Linked DNA regions of Drosophila melanogaster. The gene in region 3 interacts genetically with the main gene of each other region. Each region holds a gene or a part of one and is shown on either strand. Other genes may lie near its edges.

Region 1 (6,532 bases), on a different chromosome or scaffold from region 3:
GAAATATTTTTAAATATTTAAATAAAACCGCTTCGGCCACACAATATGGTAACAATACATTGAAGCGGCCAGAAGCTAATTAGTTTTCATAAATGAACGTTTCTCATGAAAGCTGCAGATTATAAGGAGAATAACCCAAAAAATACGCACCCACTAAAAAGTTTGAGTGCGTCACCAATCCAGTGGATTCGCTCAGGTTACTCTCATGAAATTGTGCACGAAATCAAAATAGAGGGTAGTAAATAATGGCAATGATATCAAAGCAACTCATATCAAGTTTTCATATTAGCCAGCATAAGTGTGAAAAGTTTAAAGTAACAATTGAAGTTGAAATGAGTTCACGAATAAGCTTATTTCAATTTAGTTAATTCATTTTTCTTTTTGTGCCATTTCTCGTTGAACTTGTCTATATTTAACCGTGTGAATAAATCTTTACGTTTAAACAGTTATCGTTTATTCATTAATATCTTGGTTCTGGGAACACCAAGATGACTTTCAAGCGAAAAGAGCCCCGAAAATAAATGCTTAGAATGGGGCACACTCGAAATTAGAGTCGCTTTTTCTCTCCCCCGCTCTTTTGGCGCCGTTCAAAATTTTGTGTGTGCTTTTTTTTTTGTTTTGTTTTGGAGCCACCTCTGCGCAGGCGCGCCTGGGAACCAGTTTTGTGGCAGCCAGTGGTGTGTTGTTGCTCGACCGCTTTCTGTGTGTTGCCAACAAGGCGGCCCTTGTACATTCTGTGGGCCTGGAAAAAGGGGCGGCCAGACTCGTTCACAAACTGGCACAAAGCAATGAACTGTTGAATAAAACAAAACCGAAAACACACCTGAGAATCTTTTCCGGTGCGTCCCCAAAGAGCAACACCATTTCATCCACCAGAATCACTAGAACCACCAGATCCACCGGAATGAACCTCTAGAACCTTCGGAACCCACAACCTGGGCAAACACAGACTTTTGAAGTATAAACGCAGTACGTGGGCGTTGCACCGCGGTAAGGTTTTCAAAATAAATTAAGGGCTGTGAGTAATTATGGAAAAAATGTACAAAATCATATCAGGAAGTGACTTTACACTTTCCACAGGGCATATGATGTGAGTAGAATGAACTTATAGAAGTAATAATTCCATAAATATTTTATTATTTATTAAATGGCTGCTACCTCATATATAAGCTTTAGTTTGTGTGTTTAGCACTACAACATGCTATTAATATGGTCTGAAATAAATAATAAAACCACGCATGCTGAGCCCGTTAATTGCCTTCAGAACCTTAGAGTATGTTCCCCAATTTCCCACCTCAATTACCAAACAATTTGTGTTCGATTTTGGTGCGTTGTGGCCCACGGTATCGTTGTTGGTGTGACTCAATGCTAACAATGGAATTTGTTGTTGCTGGCAGTACGCTGCGTATGCAAATAGCGACAGATAAAACGGCACTACGTGATCACCGCGATAAAGACAATCCAACGGACAGCATTGAACAACGCCCACAACTTTTAAACATTTGTTTGCATCGAATAAATTTTTGGAATTAATATCGTGTAAAAGCGAAAGCTGCCACTGTCTTTTCAGTTTAGTATAATATTTTCCCCACTATGTCATATTGTTTCTCACATTTGTGGTTTTTGTGCATCGGTAATTTCCCAAGGTGGCTGGCTAATCGATGCAGTCGCAGAAAACGTGGAACATTGCAAGGAGAAACTAGACAGAACTAAGCAGTTGTCTCGACTTAAAGTTACCTAATTACAACTTTCTATGCTTAGTCCAAAATCATACCAAGAGTCCACATCCCAATTATTTCGGCTATAACCAAAATTGGTCCTGAAATGTGCGCCCTGCATTCTCAGTATTGCATTCAATTCCACTTCCGCCACAATTCCCCACTCCCCACTAAGTACTGGGTAGTAAAGTACGCCCTAACCTTTAAAGGACTGGGGCAAATCAGTTCTTTTTCAGTTATACTCTGGCTATTTTTATAGACCTGGCTAACGACTTGCACTAATGGCCAACGTCAGGCAATGGTCGCGGCCGGCTGCGTAGGCCCACGGAACATGGCCCACGACCCGCGTCACGGCCGATTGCACTTTAACACTTGACCAGGTTGAAACACCGGACACCGGAGAGCGGAGAACGCGGGTGTGTCCAGCGTACAATTTCCATTCCATTCTCGATTTTCATTTATGTACGTGCCAGAGAATTTCCATAAACTCGCGGGGTCACGTGTTGTTATCGTTAACGCAATGCAGGTAGTTTCGGTTCATTTGTGTTTTCCCTCCACTTTTCCAGCGTGCCTAGTATACCTGTGCCGCGATTTTTCCCCTGAAAATGATGGATTATATCTGTTTAGGGCGGAAATTCAAACGAAAGCCGTACAGAAACCACTCTCGAAGTGAAGATGACGCTGATGATCTTCGCTGTCGGTGTCTGGATTTTACGATGGAAGCTGCCATAAACCAGTTGCTGTGATGCCTTTCAGGGATTTCCCAGCCCAGACATTCATTTTCTCTTCTTTTTATTCGTCGGTTTTCCTTGTCAATCATAAACCAAAGTCATTTGATAAATTCTACGATAAAAGGTATACGAAAATACAGGGCCTATAGAGAGGTTGGTTCTTTACAATTAAAAGAAAATGTGTTCATGGAAATGAATGAATTATAGCTCTTTATTAGGGCTTTTCACTCGTTTGGATTTTTTTTAATTATTAAGCTGAAAATTTGTTTACTATTAGCTTCAAGAGCTGATAAACTGGTTTACTATGTTTTCGCTGCACTCCAGGGCTTTCCCTACTTCGAGTTGGAAAACTCTTTCTCTATCTGTGCTCCCTTCTCCTGAGTGTTCTTCTTATCAACCTATCAACGGAATTGCGGTATTGCTGACGTTGAGTTGGCCGCGCTTTTGCAACTGTTGTACTTCACTTTCCGGCCAAAAGATAAGATTGCGCGTAACAACAGCCGGATGGCTGGCCGTTTGGAGGGTTGGTACTCGAATTGTAAATAAATAGACCCAATTTTTGAGGTCGTTTTTGCACAATCCGTTGGAAAAAGGGGGCAGACAATGCTAAGCCAGCCAAACAATTGAGCCGCGGACAACATGTAACAGAAAATTACACATAATGAGTCAGCAAGAGTTGTGAATCAATTATTATGATCGTTATGCGATAAGTTTCACAGATTTCACTGTTGTGATATCGCTAAAAGCGCTTTGAAAATGCAGACAAATGAGGTTTTATTACCAAAAAATCGCACCAGTATCAACAAATGCAGAAACAATAATTTGTTACGATTCCCTGTTATTTACCTAAAAATATGATATCCATTTGTAAGCTACAGTGTGTAAAAAATGCGGGTCACGTTAAAATATCTCTTCTGGTTTCAGTAATTAATTCTTCTTGGCCAAGATTGCTAACATTAACCGCCTTTGAAGCTATAATTTGATTAATTATCTCTCTCAGCGACTAAAGTTGTACTCTACTAAATATAAATTTATACGCAATCGAAGCTAATACATTTCTAAGCATTCCTTTTGTTTGCAAGATAAGACCGAGCACACAATCATCAAAAATTAGAAATGAGTGTATAATTAACACAATCAAACTTCAGGTAAGCCAGCTCCATGAGTCACTTCTTGAAGGAAAACCCGTTGAACGAGTTTTTCGTAGGCCCGAAATCATTGAAAATCCAAATTCCTTTTACCCAACATGACTTGGTCAACATCCCCAAAACACACGAATGCCCCACCACACACACACATGACCTGTTGCTCTTTTTTTTCGATTACGAGCTTTTGAAACATCAGCAAATGTTTAAGCTAAAGAATGCATGTGGCTCATCATATAAATTATTTACAGTGTGACTTCCGTAACTCAATCTCATTAACTCATTAATCATATGAGCAGCCAAAGGCTTAAACACAATAACAACATTACAAATTCCATTTAAAATGGGCATCTAATATACATTTTAATAATTTATAACGGGCAAGTTCAGTGCTGTGGAGTGATCACTGTAGCTTAAGAACCGCGTAAACACCGTGTTGCTCTCTCATGTCCCCATCTTCGCTCTCTCCTCCTGAATGTCCTCGACTGCCTATCGCCCTCCCTCTCACTCACTCGCTAGCTCCCTCTCAGGGTTCTCTCTCACCTGTTGCTAAGTAAATAAGTATGAAGAGCGGTATCCATTGAGGCGACGAATAAACTGAAATGGCGCGCTTGAGCAAATGCGACGTAATTTGAGCTGCGCTTTTCGTGCGGTCTCGACTTCTTGCTGTTGTTGTTGCTGTTTCTACTGATGCCGCCACTGTTGTTGTTGTGGTCGTTGCTGTTTCTGCTTGCCGCTGTTTTTGTTGTTGCGACAGTGACGCATTGGCGATTTTAGCCATGATCGCTGATTTGTTGGCTCAAGTCGAGTTTTCGTATTGGAAAGGGTTGCTTTTGGCTAGATATTATTGCTATTCAAACGATACTCATTGAGCTTGTTGTTGTTGGTAATTGCATTCTCCCTTCTCTCTGCTCCACGCAAACACTCATACGCACACACACACACGCGCGCAATCGGCACTTGGCTTAGAACAGGTTATTTTTATTTTTTTTAAGTTATATTCCTCTTTTTCTGCTAGTTGTATTATTTGCAAACTTTCGCACGCGACACTTTCTAGCCTGAATTTGAATATTGAGCACAGAGATTCCACTTTGAGCCAACTAATTTGCCATTTCTTCCCAGGCCACGATTCTGAATCACACCAACACACACACACACATACGAGCGCCGAAGACTTGGCTTAAAAGAGAGGTGCGCTGTTCTTGTTGTTGTCGCTGCCCTTTTGAACTGCAAGCAGCACACACACACGCGCGCGCACACACATTGGCCAAAACGGGGCGAAAAAAACGTTACGAGCGCGAGCAACCAATAAAACGTACGTACGAGCAGCAAGAAAAATGTTCGACCGTTTGAATCGGCGATATCCGTTTCGTGGGCTTATATATGGTGCAGTGTGACCAGTCCGCTTGGCTAGGTTTGGCTGGATTTTGATATAGAGTCAACATGCATGGCCACACTGATATTCAAGTTGCACAGTGGTACAATATGTACAAAAAAAATATTTTGTTCTTGAATTGATTTCGCACAAGAATTAAACCGTTAATTACATTTTCATAAAACTTTACTGATATAACTATTCAATATATCAATTAATATCGTGTGTATGTCTAGGTGACATTCCAAAATACACGAGCATAGTAAAGTTTAATTTATGGCGGGAACATGAAAACGTAAACTTCACTTAAATTACCAACGGCAGTTATGGGTTTTGTAAGTTGTGACCTACATCATCATAATCCAAATAGAATAAACCTTTTATAATACCGCAAATCTTAACTTGCGAAAATTCCGCACTGCACATATTTTCAAGTCGGAATGCATAAAAGTAAATTCCCCATAAATCAAGAAGCCGGCGGATAGCAACTACGTACTTAATGTAAATGTAAACGGCCACAAAGCGCCGACTTATCGTTTCAAAGAGAACTCAGCATAAACAGGCAGCACCGACAACATGTCGTCAATTTTTGGAGGTCTAGGTGGGACTATATAATGTGGGTAAGCCTGGTTAGAAATCACAGCAGTTGGGGAATTAGCAAAATGGGCAAATCGCAAAATAATACTGGTTCGCTTTTGCTACTGATTATACTGGGCATTTCTCTGGGAGATTCCATGCCCCTGGAGGATATGGACTCCCAGGAAATGATTGACTTGACAGATCTTGGAGATACTCTGTTCGGTAATCCGGACGTGGAGACGACTGGAGCTTTGGTTGAGGCACTCGGTGTGGAATCCCCGCTGAATCCCGAGGAGCTGGGAACCTACCACGAAGGTGACATCCTGATTCCACTGAGCTACAGGGACGCCCGATTCAATGGCACTCGTAATGGCATTTTGGCGCTGAGTTCCCGCTGGCCGGGCGGCGTTGTGCCCTACGAGATCAAAGGTCCTTTTACCAGCCAGGAATTGGGGAATATTAACCACGCTTTTAAGGTGAGGTTTCAGTAATAGTCCCTATTACAATTTACAAATAAGATTTTGTATCTTAGGAATACCACACCAAAACATGCGTGCGCTTCAAGCCCAGGACCACCGAAAAGGATTACATCTCCATTGGTAGCGGAAAGTCTGGCTGCTGGAGTAGCATTGGGCGCTTAGGTGGTCGCCAGGAAGTGAATCTGCAGTCGCCCAACTGCTTGCGTACATACGGCACTCCCATTCACGAGCTGATGCACGCCCTGGGCTTCTTCCATGAGCAGAATCGTCACGAACGTGACTCCTATGTGCGCGTGATGAAGGACAACATCAAGCCCGAGATGATGGTCAACTTCGAGAAGTCCAGTTCCAGGACACAGTACGGCTTCGGCGTGGAATACGACTATGGCAGTGTGATGCACTACTCCCCCACCAGTTTCACTCGGAATGGCCAGCCCACGTTGAAGGCACTGCGTGCCACATCCGATGCCAGCCAGATGGGTCAACGCAAGGGCTTCTCAGCCGG
Region 2 (6,635 bases), about 10 Mb from region 3:
TTTAATCGAACACCAACAGAATAACATCCTCAATTAGAAGTCAAGTGAAACAACAACAAAGGGAAGCATGTTCACGCGACGCATTGGCATTAATCAAATCAGGGGCAACCCGTAACTCAGTCATTAAAGGGTGGAGTGGCGTGCCGCCGCTGCAAAACAGAAATGCATTAAGACCAACAACGGCCTGCCGATGCAGGGCAGAAGCATCTGCAATACATCCCAGCCCGGTTCGGGTCCATTAAGTTAAATACGCACACGCCCCAGCGATCAGTTTCGGAAAAACCAGAGACGTGGTGGTTCTTGCCTTGCCTGTGTTATCTTTGCGCTTTTCCGGTACTGTTGATAAACAGCCATAAGAAAGTCGTTATTCTCGGGCATATATGGCGTATATGAAACCATTTAGAGCATGTAACGACTTCTTTAGAATACTCAGCTGGGTCCTACGGCAAATTATTTTCGCGCTGCGAAAAGTTTACAGATTAGTCATAAGGTAAAGTCGTCTGCATGTATATAGGCCTAAATTTTGAGTACTTTCGCTGTATCTAAATTCATTTCCCAGGCGTCTGCCTTTTTTGTGGGCAGCCGCTGTCAGCCTGCAAAACATTTGTGCATAAAACGTTTGACACTTTGGACAAACAAATACACAAGGCTTGCGACAGTGGCAGAAGAAGCTAAAAGTTCGCCGAATCGGAAAATGCTATAGCCGCTGCGACAGTTGGTGCGTGAATCACGATATTGGAATGCCCCACAAGAGAGGAATTGGAGTTATCGGTCCAGGGAAGTTGTCCGAAGTTACCCAGCGAGGCAGCCGCGAGAGGCTGGGGCATATGAGGTCATCAGTCTCGGATTCTCGCTCAACGGCATCTCGGGCATTCCAGGCAATCGGTGAAGCGAAACCAAAGAAAATATATCAACAACACCTAGATGTTGGTGATGATCAGACAGGCGGGAATCAAAGTAAGAATGTTGGGAAGGAGTGCATTCCAGAGGGGAGCCCCCGATTTGGGTTTGACTATTTTTGGGTGCCCAACCGCAACCTTGAACATGCCAAGGTATCGGCCGAACAGCACACATAAGAATATTGGTGATTTTGAGATATATCTGTGGCCATTATTTACTCTCTGGGAGCGTATGTTTTTCGCCAACTTCTTTTGTTTACACTATTCCGAAAATGTAAATATGAACAGAATAATGAATAGATGTCTCCGGTCCCCCTTTTTCCATCACGATCCAAATGCGAACGTTCGATGGGCCCATTAAAATTTGTTACTCTTTTATTTTATTCCTTCGCTTAATCGATCAACGTATATGCATTGTTGAGGATGGAAGTGGAGATGGAGAGGGTAAGAAGCGTATATTACACATACGTGATACGAGGCGCAGGTTCGTTGACCGTAAACCGGACGGACGAGAGTCGAAAGCTGGCTACGTTTGTCATTGCCGTAACCGAAAAGAAAACACACACTCGCGCGGCACGGGCATCTCCGCCAGAACCAATCGCGGCACGCCAAAGGGCGGGGGCGCGGAAGCGGAGTGGGAGTGGTCGCAAACAAAGTCCAAAGTGGTTTCTTTGGTTATAAATACGAGCAGCACACATACAAGCGTGGAAGTATGAAACGCAGCATGTGTGGGTGAGCAGAGACCCCCTAATGATCGCCGTTCGTTACAATCGAATCGATTCTCTGGACATGACGAAGGTTAAGCCGACTTCAATTTGGCTAACAATATAAAAAGTTTTCAGATTGGTCTCGGGAGTGAGGCGTTCAGGAATGCCTGAACAAAGACAGCGGATAAGAAGAGCATTAGCGCTGAAGAAGAGGGAAAAAAGAAAAGAGGTGTAAACACATTTCCACCGTGTTCACGAATTCCAAAGTATTAACTTTTCAATTTCATCGTTGGACAATGGAAAAGTAAGCTATGAACTATTAAAAGCATTTAAATAGTTTCAAGATCGCAAATATACATTAACCTATAACCCGAAACCTTCAATGTACAATATATCTAATCCCCACCAATAAACTTGCTCTCTGTGCAATTGATTCGATGAATCATCGCTGTTCAGCAAACAACATGAAACGAAATGTAGCCACGAACAAAAGGTCTCCTTGTGTATCCACCAGTAAATTACTGAATTTGGATATCACGTACGTGGACTGACGCCGCCATTATTCAGCGAATTCGCTTACATTTCGAAAAGCTGGAACAGTTGCTGGAAACGAAACGAGTGTTGACACAATTGGCGAATACCCTTTTGGACGGGTCCGTTCCCGTTAAGACGTAGCTGTATCTGTGGACATTCCAGCGGAGCAACAGTTGCGCTATATGCAAATTTCTTAACTATTTCCACCCGTCTCATGTGCCGTTCGTCAGTCGCAAAGAAATTTTAGCCTTTAGACAATCTGACGGACCACTCATGACAATCGAGCGTTTCGTTATTTTCGTTTTATTTCTGGGTTTTATCTCTGCCGTTGTCTTTTTGTGAGATTCCATTGTAAAGTAAATGTCTGTTAAAGTGATCGCGTAATTACACAAAAATGTGAAGTTGTTGGCTTTTGTTTTCGATGTTGCTTTTATTATACGAAGTCACCCAAAAGTGCTACCATTCTATGTACGGAATTATCTCTGGCAAATACAGCAATTACGGGCAGCCAGGGGAGAAAGGAGCGGTTGATAATTTTATCTGTTTACGTTTTTTATGGTCTTGAAATTAAGTCGTTGGAATGCAGTTGAATGACACCTGAATGAAATCGCTTTAAACTGAAGAAGAGAATAACAAGCCACACCGAAATTAGCAAAACAATCGGCTTGTTATCATAAGGCTTGATCGCTAGCAGTCGACCAAAGTTTTGAATTTGAATTTATAGGCCAAGAGCGGGCGCCCGAACTCCGAGGGAAGCGATTCTTTGGCGCAATCTCGGCTCGTTTCTTTGCTGGCCTGGCTGTGTGGTTGAGGCCAGAAAGCCCCACACAAGCAAGTCCACACCACAAATACCTAGCCACATTGAAAACTTGTTTTGGCCCGCTCTTAGTGGGAACTGCGAACTGGGGCCATTCCTGCTTCCACTCTCCCTCGGAGGTGAGTCACTGAGTCGAAGAGCGTCTGCATGCAAATTGGTACCAAATGGTCGCGGATTTGACCAAGTAAGAAGTTAAATGTGTCACACTACTACGGTGAGATTAATTCAGCATCAGCGCAGGAGAAAAGAGTGATTCAGCATCGACGCCAACGGATGTTTACCCAAGTTTATCACCGCGGTGCGAATGTAATGAAAATTCAAAGAAGTTGGGCCTGTTCAAAATTAAAAATAAACGGATCGGTGAAGCGTGATTCATGACCAATCGATGAGTGAGTCGGATGGCTCAAAAGGTGTTGGCTGATAAGAAGCGCAAAGCCGGGGACAAACACTGTGAAAATTGATTAGAGCACGTACAGCTAGGGCTAAAATATTATCACGATGTGTCGAACACACTATGTTCTATAATAACCATTCACTGCGAAGTAATACTTAGATATTAGATAGTTACATGTAGCAATTTTTTACGCAAAAGAATATGAAAATTAAACGAAAATTAAGTACATTTGGTAATTTTACAAAAAAAAAAAAAAAAACCATAATGGGCTAATGACTACCGACTTCACGAAATAAACAGCGTTATGATGTATCGACTGTATTTTTATCTCAGTTGTAGCAGTTCCTGTTGCATTTAGGCTATCTATAGGGTCTATTCAGGTAGTTCACTGAAACGGGCGTGGCTTCCGGGGTAGAAATCCCGTAGCAGAGGTTGCGTCCAGAGTAGGAACATGCTCTACGGGTAGGCATTACATTTAAGTAGACTCACCTGGTTCTCGTGTGGCACCCACACCAGACGCTTCTGTGTCCACTCGGCCTGCGTGGCCGGATCGTTGAACTGGTTGCGCTCCACCGAGAGGTACTTGAGCTCCGGATCGTTGCGATCTACTTCCTCCGACATTTTGGCGGCGATCTCTAAATAATTCCTTGTCTGTCGGTAATTAGCTGCTTTCGGATAATGGATATTGGATACTGGATATTCGCTTTTCGGATGCAATGCACTTTTCTGTCGGACAAAACAAATCGATGAGAACAATGAGTATGTTGCCTCGCTCCTCAGATACAATATTTCGCATTTATCTCGCGTTTGCGTTCTTTATCTCGGAAGTGCGGCACAAAACGGAGGCGGCGAGAACAGCGCGCGGCGAGAGTTTCAAAAGGGAGAGCGCGAAGGCGAAAGAAAGACGGAGAGGAAAAAATATGGCCACACATTTTCATTTTCTTAAGCCAAAGTCACCGCTGAACGTAGAAGAAGGGGTGGTGAAGTAATTTAGCGGAAAAATAGCGTTACGTAGCAATTAACCAGTTTGCATCTCCTAAAACTGCAGCTAAACACTATCAGAGCACCTTTTCACCTCCGATTTCGGATGTTTCAGTTTTCGGAGCAGGTACAAGCGGCTCTTTTTCTTCCTCTTCGTCTTCTCTCGCTTTGCTTCCCACTTGGTTCGTTCTGCAACACCGACACACAGCACGGCTCACACACACACACACATAGATCGCACTGGGAGCCAAGGTTTCGCATATTCGCATATTTCGCACACAAGTTTCGGTTTTTATGCTCCCATTTCCCCGCGTCAGCACAGCGTTTGTGCAAATGCAGCCAAATTCGACCGTGCAGTTTCAGCTGGCGGCGTCCCGACGCCGGCGAATAGGTCGCTGCATTCGCTGGATGCCTGTGCACATTTCCGATTTTTTTTTTACCGATTTTAATGCAAGCCAGGCGCTTTTCATTTGTTTGGCGACAGCTGCACCCACACACACTCACAAAGACTTCGACCGCAGTTCCTGAGCACGTCTTTTCGCTTTCCCCCTTTTTTTTTCACTGTTTTTCGCCGCTTGCCGTTTTGCCGACCGAGTACTTTTCGAGTTCGATGGTAATCGATGCCTTCCGATTCCATTCGGACATATCGATGCATCGATATGTCGTAGTTCACACGACGGCCGCGGCAGCGCTTTCTGAAAACACATACATCGATATGTCAACACTGATTAAAATTCTACATATGGATCGCATCTAGATTTTGTTTAAAGCACACACCTGTAACATTTTTTCAGGTCGGCCATTGTATTCCTCTATAACAGAATATCTAAGTTTTTAGCAAAGTATCGCATCAGCTTCCTCTGGTTCATGACTGCACTTAAGATCGAAATATTCGCGGCTTCAAGCCAAGCGGTGTCGATTGGAATCGAATACTTCCGGAATAGAAATGAGATTAAATTATTTTGCCGATTTCACTCACTTGCATATTCAGATGTAGCAAAGGATGTTTCCAACTCACTTTTCAATTTATAATATTGGTCAAATTAGTGCAAGCTAAGTATCGTATATGTCGATTTTACTTTTGACATATACGTAGTTCATTTAGTTGGACCGCACGACAACATCAAAATACCTTACCGCCTTTTTGTTTTTGGTGTTTTGCGGGGTCTCGCGTGCTGTCCTCTCTTCGAATCAGTTCTTGGTAAAACCAAACTTCAATAAACCGTTGGGTTAATGCGCGGATGTGCGGATACTTTCAGTTAATTTTGAATTTTTCGAGGAACGGTGAAGGTCCGCGCTTGAATCAGTAAGTCCAGTTCCGAGTATCACAGCCAGATGTGAGTGCTTGGCGCCAGTCGCAATTAAATTGACTTTAATAAAATATCTGGCGGGCTCCTTGCGAACTTTTAATTCTGGGGAAACGGACTTGAGTGATTCCAACTAAGAGCAAGAACACAGTTCCTTAAATGAAGTGCTACTTCTGGCAGCGTTCTTGAGATGCGCGCAGCATCCTTGGCAATGACGTCATTCGCCTGCTGACCAGTTTCTCTGTGTTCGTGTGTATGTGTGGCGAGAGTGCGTATGCGTGTGTATGTGCCGAAATTAGAGCGCAATAGCGAATTCAATTTGCATTTGCGGAAGAAATAACTGCAAACGAACAGAATCGATTGTTGTTGTCGCGAGTGCTTTGTTAAGGATAAGAAGAAGTCGCGACTAGTTCCGCAAAACTCTCACGTTTTGTCTATGGTTTCTCGTTTCCAGAATCCTAAGTGAGGGACTCCGAATAGGATTCATTGGATGACAAACTAACGTGCAGCCAGGAATTATCGATTCAGGTAAGCCATCGTTTCTCCTTGAAGCAACTGGGTCAGACAGCGATAATAATTGCACGTGTAGTTCCTGGTTTTCCACAAAATTGTCGTGGTAAGCTGAGCCACCCCATCTTCCCGAAACCTTCCAGCTTTATGCTGATAATGAATTTTTAATGTGCGCTGAGACTGCTAGTAGAAAAGAAAAAACAAACCCACATAAATTAAACTTGCAAAATCTTCAAAGGACAGAGAACTGCGTCGGTGCTTCCATTCCGCTTTTTTGGGAGGCTGTAAATTATGAAAGACCAGACAAGCGGTAGACAACAAGGTTTGCCCGTTCCCAAGGGATCCCGGGGCAACATAATCAAAGGCCTTTATTACTGGGCTGGAATCGGATGGGGCCCGTCCGGAAACCATGCCGCAGACGGCTTTCCTGGCCCGGAGTCCCGTGACAGGGCACGTTCGACCTAATAAGCATACGTCGTTGAGTAA
Region 3 (8,373 bases):
AAGTTGCCACTGCCCTGCTGATTGGCCGACGGTGTGCTGGGGCAGGTCTGCGATTGCTGTTGCTGCTGCGTTTGCTGATGCTGCTGCTGTTGCGGCAGGCAGGGCTGCTCCTCCTCCTCCTCCTGCTGCACGATGTTGACCGGAAGTGGTGCACATTGCGTCAGGCGGCGCGGCGATCGTCCACGATCCACAGTCGTGGCGGACCAATAGCCCCAGGCCATTTTGGTTTACTTGAACAAATTTTTCACTTCGCGTCGCGTTTATTGCGTTTAAGTTCACTAAGCTCTCGCTTCGTTTCGTTTTGATTTTGCTCGAATTTGATTTTGCTTATTTTGTAAGTTCGTTTGCGTTGGACTTGATTCTGCGATTAATTAGCACAAGATTAACGTGGGGGAACTAGTAAGACACAATTGAAAGTTGTACTCTAAATCGAGTTTCGTATGTCCATTGCTTTTCAGCTTGTTTTGTTATCAAGGTCATTACAAGATTAAGTAGCATTGAATGTTTGATTTGTAATATTTAAGAATTGTTTGTTTTTCGCAAAGAAATCGTTATAACTCAATCTTTCTATCACTTCAACTTGATTTACTCCGTTGCCAGCGTTGCTTGACTAAGTGCCACCAATATTTCTACTTAGCATAAACCCCCCTCTTAAGTGGAGCGTATATAAAATTGGATTCAGTGGGGACTGAGTCGCGGGGAGAGCGGGTGGTCGGAGAAAGTAAATCGCGAAGGAAAGCGGAACAAGGTCCCAGTTGCAATTACAGTTACATGGCGCACCAAACTATGCAATGCAAAGTTTCAAAGCCAAACGACAGGCGGCGTATCCCCCACTCCGCCCACTTTGCTGATCTCGCAGTTCGTAATGATTGATTAAAAGAAAAACTCAGACACACACAAGGATATGGCCGTGAGAAGGGCGTTGGGCGATGGAAGAGGGGTTATGGGGATAGGGAAGGTGGGCGTTTGGCTATGGGCGTGGCCGGTTGCAGACGCCGCAGAAACCACACCTAAAAAAAATATATAAATTGTGTAATAATGGGAAAGACAAGAGAGAAACGAGCGGGGAAACCGAGAGAAATGCAGGCCGAACAGCTGACAACTCTGTCAGGACACCCACACACACACACAGACACACACAAGAAACAGTTGCTTGGAGAAATTGGTAACACACACAGAGACACACGGCTGCGACAATCACAAACAATTTAACCCAAGTCAAACGAGCGCACAAGTTGCTGCAAATTGACAAAGGCGTGAAAGGCAGCCAAGAGCGAGCGAAAATTATTGAGAAGGTGGGAGAGAAAGCGCCAGAGAAGGTAAGGAAAATCCAGAGAGAGAGAGAAAATCGGTCGACGCGCGCAGGGAAATTTGCTCGCAATCGCCCTTTTAAGTATGCAATCTTCTGTTGCCATTCCTACATTTCAGCCATGTACAGTGAAGACTCTGTGCAGTAAACTCGAAGGTTTTTATTCAAAAGATGAGATGGGTAATTATAGAAACATAAAAATATATATTTTATGTTATGAAAAGTAATGCTAATAGAAGTTAGTATCCCAAACTATTATAATGTGATTAAACACTTTCTTTCTCTTGAGCGTACACTGTATTCCAGTGAAAGGCGAACCCAGGGCAAAAGCCCACCCATCGATGCAGTCAAGTGTAAACAGAAAATTTTCTTCAAGTGTATTGGTAGGTCACATCGCAATCGCTTGTTGTTTAGACAATTGAAATTAAGCACTCCACTTTCATGCATAATTCGCATGATTAACGAGGGTCGAAGTGGGTCGAAAAAGGGGGTGGCGAGGTCCTTAGGTGGACAGCATCCACTTGACACAAGAGCCTTGTCGTGACAAGGCAAGCAGATCCCTTTGTTTGGCACTCATTTTCTCGGCATTTTCTTTGTTTTCCACGCTATCTGCTGATGATGCAGTCTCTGGTGACTGAATGGTGTGCACAAAAAGAGGATCTGATGCATTTTCGAATTAAATTTAGCCAGTCCCCTTCAACTCATCCCGTTTTCCCTAGCCCCATTCCCCTCTTTTGCACTGGCACTATGCTTCAGCGTTTGCTAAATATAAACACTCCGCCGGCATTGTTTTCTCTGCAATTGGAGCATGAATATTGGTTGCCTGCTTGTTTGTCCAGGATGGGAACAGAGCATCCCAAACAACCCAACAGTCCAGCCACCTACACTAAAGCCTTCCTGGCTCCATCCATAGAAACCTCTTTTGTTGGACTAACCAAAGTCCTAAAATCCCACAGCTCTAAGCTAGATTAAAGCTGATTTACAAACAAGAAAATTATTTAACAAGCTTAAAGTACACGCTTTGTTTTAAAGTTTTTAAGCCGATTAGTTAATTACTGCATAGGGAAAGTGCCCACAATAGATGTCTTTAAATCCTATTCTATTTATACTTCTTGATTTCAATTTGTTACATGATTAAGTTAAGTTTTCTGTTTTTTGTTTTCGGTAATTTAATATATTTTCACTGCATTGCATGGCCTAATAAAAATGCTGCCATAAATGTTTAATATCAATAAAGCTGCGTTTTTAAAGCAAAAAGCTATTGATTAGATATTCCCAATAGCTATTGTTTATTATTTACGGCCTCATTCAAGAATTTCAATGGCCTAAATAAGCACACGACTGCTTACATCAGAAACCCATCAAATTTGGATATTTAGCCCGCCACGCCCACGAATTATTGACCATTCCAGCGCCTCAATCATCCGCCCACTCTTGAACTTTGGCAAAGAAGCGTTTGGGGAGATGGGTTTCCTGTGAAACCATAACGATAAACCTGAGCAGGCGATGTTCGCCAAAAGGACTGCGGCACCATCTTTGGGCCAACAGATACCAGATACTCCGGACCAGAGGCATCAATAGTTAAACATCAATTTGGCTTTTCCGAGTGACGTCAAGCGGGGCGAGTTGCCACCTGCCGCCCACCTCGACCTCCAGTGGATATAAAATTTCACACAGCTTAAAAAAGAGAAAAGCGGCAAAATGGAAATGCCATAAAGTTCCCACTTACAGAAAGAATGCCCATCTGCGAAATGTACCTTAAAACGTGAATAAAGACGCTAGTTTATTCTATAAATATTAACAACTTCATGGATGGATACAAATTATATTAAAACAGAGCTAAACAGATAGTAATCGAGCTTCAGGGATCTAGAAAAATTTGACACTGTTGTGTATGTGCAACTTAAACAAATTTAAATAAAATGTAAGTATTGAGACTCGTAAAGCTTAAAGTTTAAGCATAAGGTCCTCAAAGTTGTACATTTTACTGTATGATTAATAATATAATATAATTATAGCTTTTTCTCTCTGCATCAACGATATGATATAGGCATCCGTAATGAGGCATATACATATGACCAGCAACCAATTCCGCCCACATCCGTACATTTGCACTGATCCCCTAACAATACCGAAATGGGCTTTCTTGTTTGCTGAACTAACAATAATTTCATTAAGCCCAATGGCATCATTAAAATTTGCCCAACAATCATAATGGGGCCAGCTAGCAAGCGAACTGGGTACCGAATCTGCCAGAGGCTGCATAGGCAAACCTAAAATAAAAGAAAAGGAACACAGACCAAAAACAGAACCCCAGGGTACCCAAAAAAGCAGTGGAAATTTGCTGATTTAACTTTGGCAAAAGGAGACGCACACACACCTGGTTCGAGTGAAAGCCTTCGGGCCAAAAAGAAACGAACAAGTTTAAATGGCAGGGCGACAGCTTGGCCAGCAAAACGCTTTCCGCAAAGAATGAATAAAAAGAAATTGTTTCGCCCTGCAGCTTCTTACTAGCCCACTGACTCATATTATATACATATGTATATGTACATAAATATATATAGTATATGTGCATATATGCCTTACATATATGTATGTATGCATACGAAATGGATCCATCTCGTCTATATAGTATAGTCGGTTTGGGCCAAGTTTGGGCAACCAGACGGTCGCCGAGGTGCAAGAAGCGCTTGATGAAGTGCAAATGCCTGAGGTCAAGTTTAGGGTGGGGATTCTCGCACACCATCACACACTCGCACACACACACACACACTGCCTCATTTTGCGTCATATGTGTTTGCAAGTGTGTGTGAGTGTGCGAGTGTGTGTGGTTTTGTTTGCCAGTGTCTGGCGCACAGCAGCCAAAAAATTTGGGAAAAAAGTGAACAGCGTGATGCAGAAAAAGTGTAAGGGAACCCACAAAAATGGAAATCAATTCTTTGATTTTTTTATCGTGGTTGCTCCCCTTTGTCTAAGTGCAAAATGATAGAGGCATAGGAAATGGTATGTTTTTAAAGCGTTCTAGAACTTTAATTGTATTGCACTGAGGTATTTAAAATATAAAAGAAAAATGCTTAGTGTGTGGGATTTCACCTGCGTTTTTGTCTGCGTTTTGTTTTTTACGTTTTTATACTTTAAGAAAGTGAATAAAAGCAAGGATTTTATTAATAGAAACTAAAAAACCATATTTATATTCAATTTTTTTTTTAACAAGAATGAATTATTATTATTAATACTTTATAAAGGGGTAAATTATAATCTTTCAAAATATATTGATTTTGCGAGATACGGTCATAAATTCCATCACATCTCTGGGGTAACTCTTTCATAAAGTTTTTACTTCATTAGCAGCACTAAAAAACGTTCATTAAAGAAACATTCACAAAATTATGTTAATCATTCCACGTCCATTGCCTTTCCACCTCCCCATTTTCCGACCCCTTCTCTCAGCGGAAAATTGTATGGCAACTAATCAGAAATGTACGACAACTTCGGCAGAACAGTCAAAAAATATTGCACAGGGCCAATTGATTTTTTCCGCAAGATTTTCGTGACTTGCCGAAGAGCGAGTGGAAATGTTTAAGAAAATAATTATATGGAATTATGTTATTCACTGATTTGTACTCCTTTTCCGACATACAACTTCGATTTTTCCGCTTTCTTTTGTTAATTCACAGCGCAGAAACTCGATTTGCCGTTTAGCTGTGCAAAATCTTGTATATTTGTATACATATATATGTATATGTATATATATATCTATAATTATGTATTTGTTTGTAAGGCCCGGGGAGTTATATCTTCGAATCGAAATCCGCACGGCACTTCCACACAGGCGAGCGGCCAACGCGCGAGTGAAATGCCGATGCAGAGAAGTATGCTAGGGAAATTTTTCGGGGAGAATGTAGCGGAAAGCCATGGAGAAAGCTATTGAGAGCGAGTCTCGGCGAATGGAAAAAGTAAAGAGCAAGAGCGAAAAAAGAAACTAGATAATTTGAGAAAAAATGTTTTGTTCTTTTAGTAGTTTCTTAGTAGACGTTTTTAATGAATGACTATAAAAAAATTATTATTAAAAAAAATATTTTATAACAATTCATTTTAGGTAAGCTATTTTGCTATGACTGTCTCGAAAATGAAGAAATGAAAAATATAATTTTTAAAAACATTTTTTATTCCAACACGTAAACAGAGTAAGAGTAAAGTAAGAATTCTATAATCTGAAATTACAATTCCGGATCCGTTTCGATGGATGAAGGTGATCCAAATGATCCGGAACTGAGTGGGGCAGATGTTACTAAAATTCAGTCCTCGTCCAAGGATTGGAAAAAGAAAATTTCCCTTCCCCGCTCTTTCTAGCTCCAAACAGCCTGTCGTGGCCTTGTGAATATACTTCACTTTTGGAGAGAGAGCGAAAATAAAAGCCGCAGACCGGCGCTTTAGCATTGCCATCTTAGATTCAATGGATGGCAATACCTTTCTCTTTGGCTCAGCTGTTTTTTGTGGCATCTGGGGAAATGCTCTCTCGCTCTCTCTCTCTCTCTGTCCTTCCATCTATTCTCTGTTGGCCATCGCTGTCTCGCTCTTGGGTAATGGCATCTTGTGTATCGACCTTATGAGCTGCAAAAAAAGTTCTTCGGACCTGGACAAAAGTTTTTCATGTACATATGCGTATGTGTGTGAGTGTGTGCCGGACAGCGTTGCCATATTGCAGGCGCATAAATTATACCGTTAGCTTACAGATTCTAACTTTTTGTATTGCTTTGTTTTTGGGAGAGCTGCAGAGGTTTTTGCTGGGCGGAGATGAAGCCGGAAGGTGAAGCGAAGTTCTACGGAAACACACTTTCCAACATAAGAAAAAATTAAAAAAAAAAAACGAAACCAAAAAACAAGAGAAGCAACAACAGAGAAGTCAAAACACGGGCTTGTATAAATGCAAAACACACTCACCAACAGCCATTTACTAATCAACACAACAACAATAAGCACACAAACAGAAAACATGTGCGGCATACAAACACACAGACAGGACATCCTAACATATGCAGGAGTGCGTGTAACGGTAACGTAATACCTTGACAATGTCCCTCTCCCGTACGCACACACACACAGTCGCAGGAAAACAGACGCACACAGAATACTTTTAATACATTTTAAGCCGCATTTTTTCACACGTGGCCACATAACACAAGAATAAAAACAAGAAAGAATGAGACTGTCAAGTGTTGCGACAGAAAAGCTACCCACTACCAGGCAATTGAATATTTAAGTAGCATAATTTTTGGGATATGTCCTGAAAAATAGATGAATAAAGAACTTGGAGTACGCTTGTTTTTAACGAATACAGCATACCCCTTGAAAAGTACCGGGTATGCAACAACAACAACCAACATGTTGTCCTTACACACTGTTCTTTTTTGTCATTCGGAGATATGTATGTACATATGTGAAGATGTGGACTGGCCACAAAATATCAGGAAGCCTGCTCCCCAGAACAAAAACAAAGCCGCATAAAAAGGGTAGCGGAAACTGTAACACCCTCTCCATCAAAACCCCACACCAGCCACGAACTTTGTTTAGTGCGACTGGCAGTTATCATATCTGCTGGGCCGTTAGTTGGCTTTTTTCTTGTTTTACATATCGGTGTTCGGAAAAACAGAATGACCACAGGTATGAAATGGTTAAGGATATATGGATAACTCGGAAAAATTTGAATAAGAACTACACTTTGCAAGGGATATTAATACTCAATAAAATTAAATGGTAAAAACAATTTTGGGTACTAAGTATCAGTTTAAGTATCTTACCCAATAAAACTAAAATGTCCTACATTCGTAGCCAAGAAGAGTGTATTCCTTGTTTATTATGCTTTAACCTCAGGCCCTCGTTTTTTTAGTAATTTACTGTATAAAAGGGTTTTGTGTTTGTCATTCGCCAAACGAGTGTGGTAAGTGAAACCTTTTTGTTGTTGCGGCAGGCATAATTAAGCACAAAACTCGCATCAGAGTGTGCATGAGTGAGATCGCCGAAAACCGCACAACAGGAAAATTAAAATTCCAAAAAAAGCTGGCGAAAACTTAAACCCACACGAAGCAAACAATTTAATTATAATGAATTATAAATGATGCCGTCGAGCCAAGATCCAAGCAGAATTTATATGCAAATAAGTCGGAGGTAGGCAAGAGTGAACAAACGTAGAAGAACGCTGACTGCCTAAGGCAATTGCCACAAGACTCAAGCTTTTCGAGCATGCGAGTGTTCGTACGGGTTAATTAATATTTTATGTTATTAACTCGAGTGGATGACGCTGCCTTTTGGCAGCCTGCGAAGGCAGAAAGGCAACCGGAAAACTCGCGGGGAAAACTCAAGTTTATTGAGCCAACAAGACGAGCTCACATTGTTTAATCAGGCTTAAATGTGCCTGCTTAAGTTATGGAAGCGAAGACGAAATGTGTGGCCGATTGGTTAATTAATTACTTGCTGCCTACCTTGCGGCGGCAGCAGTAAATCATTTAAAAACTTGGAGAATTGAAAATAAAAAGAAGAGTAATTCTGTGAATGCAGATACTGTATCTTTTGCTAGATAACCAGTAGGCTTACTTTGGTTTAATAGTGCTTTCCGCTCACATTAGTTTACTGACCTTATTAGATAAGTTTATCGTTTTCAGTTTTAGAAGCGAACTTAAATTACAATCGAAATTCCTTAACCAATAATAACCAATAACTCGACTTTCTTTTATTTATTACTCTAACGTATCTTTGCAATTTTAAATTTTGAGCAGACTTACCATGAATGACTAACTGGGAATCGAAGTTCATTTCGTAAAGTCGTATGGCCTCGTCCAATTCCATTTTCGTTGATATGGTGCAGGGATCGTTTTCCTCATCTACCCATTTGATGGTAAATGGCTAAACAAAACGCTCAATGAATTACACTTCTGTAACGTGCAGTACTTTATATATATTTTACCTGATCCAGAGGAAATCGACAAATGTTGCGAATCTCGTAGCACAGCTCCTCGTATGAGATATTCTTGTTGATGGTGGTAATGATAATCTGGCCATTGTAG

Evidence for each region. Genes that interact genetically often act in the same process or in processes that back each other up.
Region 1: of aPKC (region 3) and crb, changing one suppresses a phenotype caused by changing the other (phenotypic suppression), as found in Drosophila melanogaster (one study listed by BioGRID).
Region 2: of aPKC (region 3) and zip, changing one enhances a phenotype caused by changing the other (phenotypic enhancement), as found in Drosophila melanogaster (one study listed by BioGRID).

What each region holds. Positions count from the first base shown.
Region 1 is NT_033777.3:24,293,470-24,300,001, reverse strand, and holds the start of crb (crumbs), read right to left. Parts: upstream 4,925-6,532; 5' UTR 4,376-4,924; coding exon 4,138-4,375; intron 1-4,137. Other genes in the region: CG5715 (uncharacterized protein), read left to right, coding at 5,632-6,024, 6,081-6,532.
Region 2 is NT_033778.4:25,006,540-25,013,174, forward strand, and holds the start of zip (zipper), read right to left. Parts: upstream 4,925-6,635; 5' UTR 4,803-4,924; coding exon 4,773-4,802; intron 4,670-4,772; exon of another isoform or gene 4,561-4,669; intron 4,078-4,560; coding exon 3,841-4,077; intron 1-3,840. UniProt on the Drosophila melanogaster protein: Nonmuscle myosin appears to be responsible for cellularization. Required for morphogenesis and cytokinesis. Necessary for auditory transduction: plays a role in Johnston's organ organization by acting in scolopidial apical attachment.
Region 3 is NT_033778.4:14,953,295-14,961,667, forward strand, and holds the start of aPKC (atypical protein kinase C), read right to left. Parts: upstream 5,163-8,373; 5' UTR 4,950-5,162; intron 362-4,949; 5' UTR 222-361; coding exon 1-221. UniProt on the Drosophila melanogaster protein: Serine/threonine protein kinase which is required for apico-basal cell polarity in the germ line as well as in epithelial and neural precursor cells, for epithelial planar cell polarity and for cell proliferation.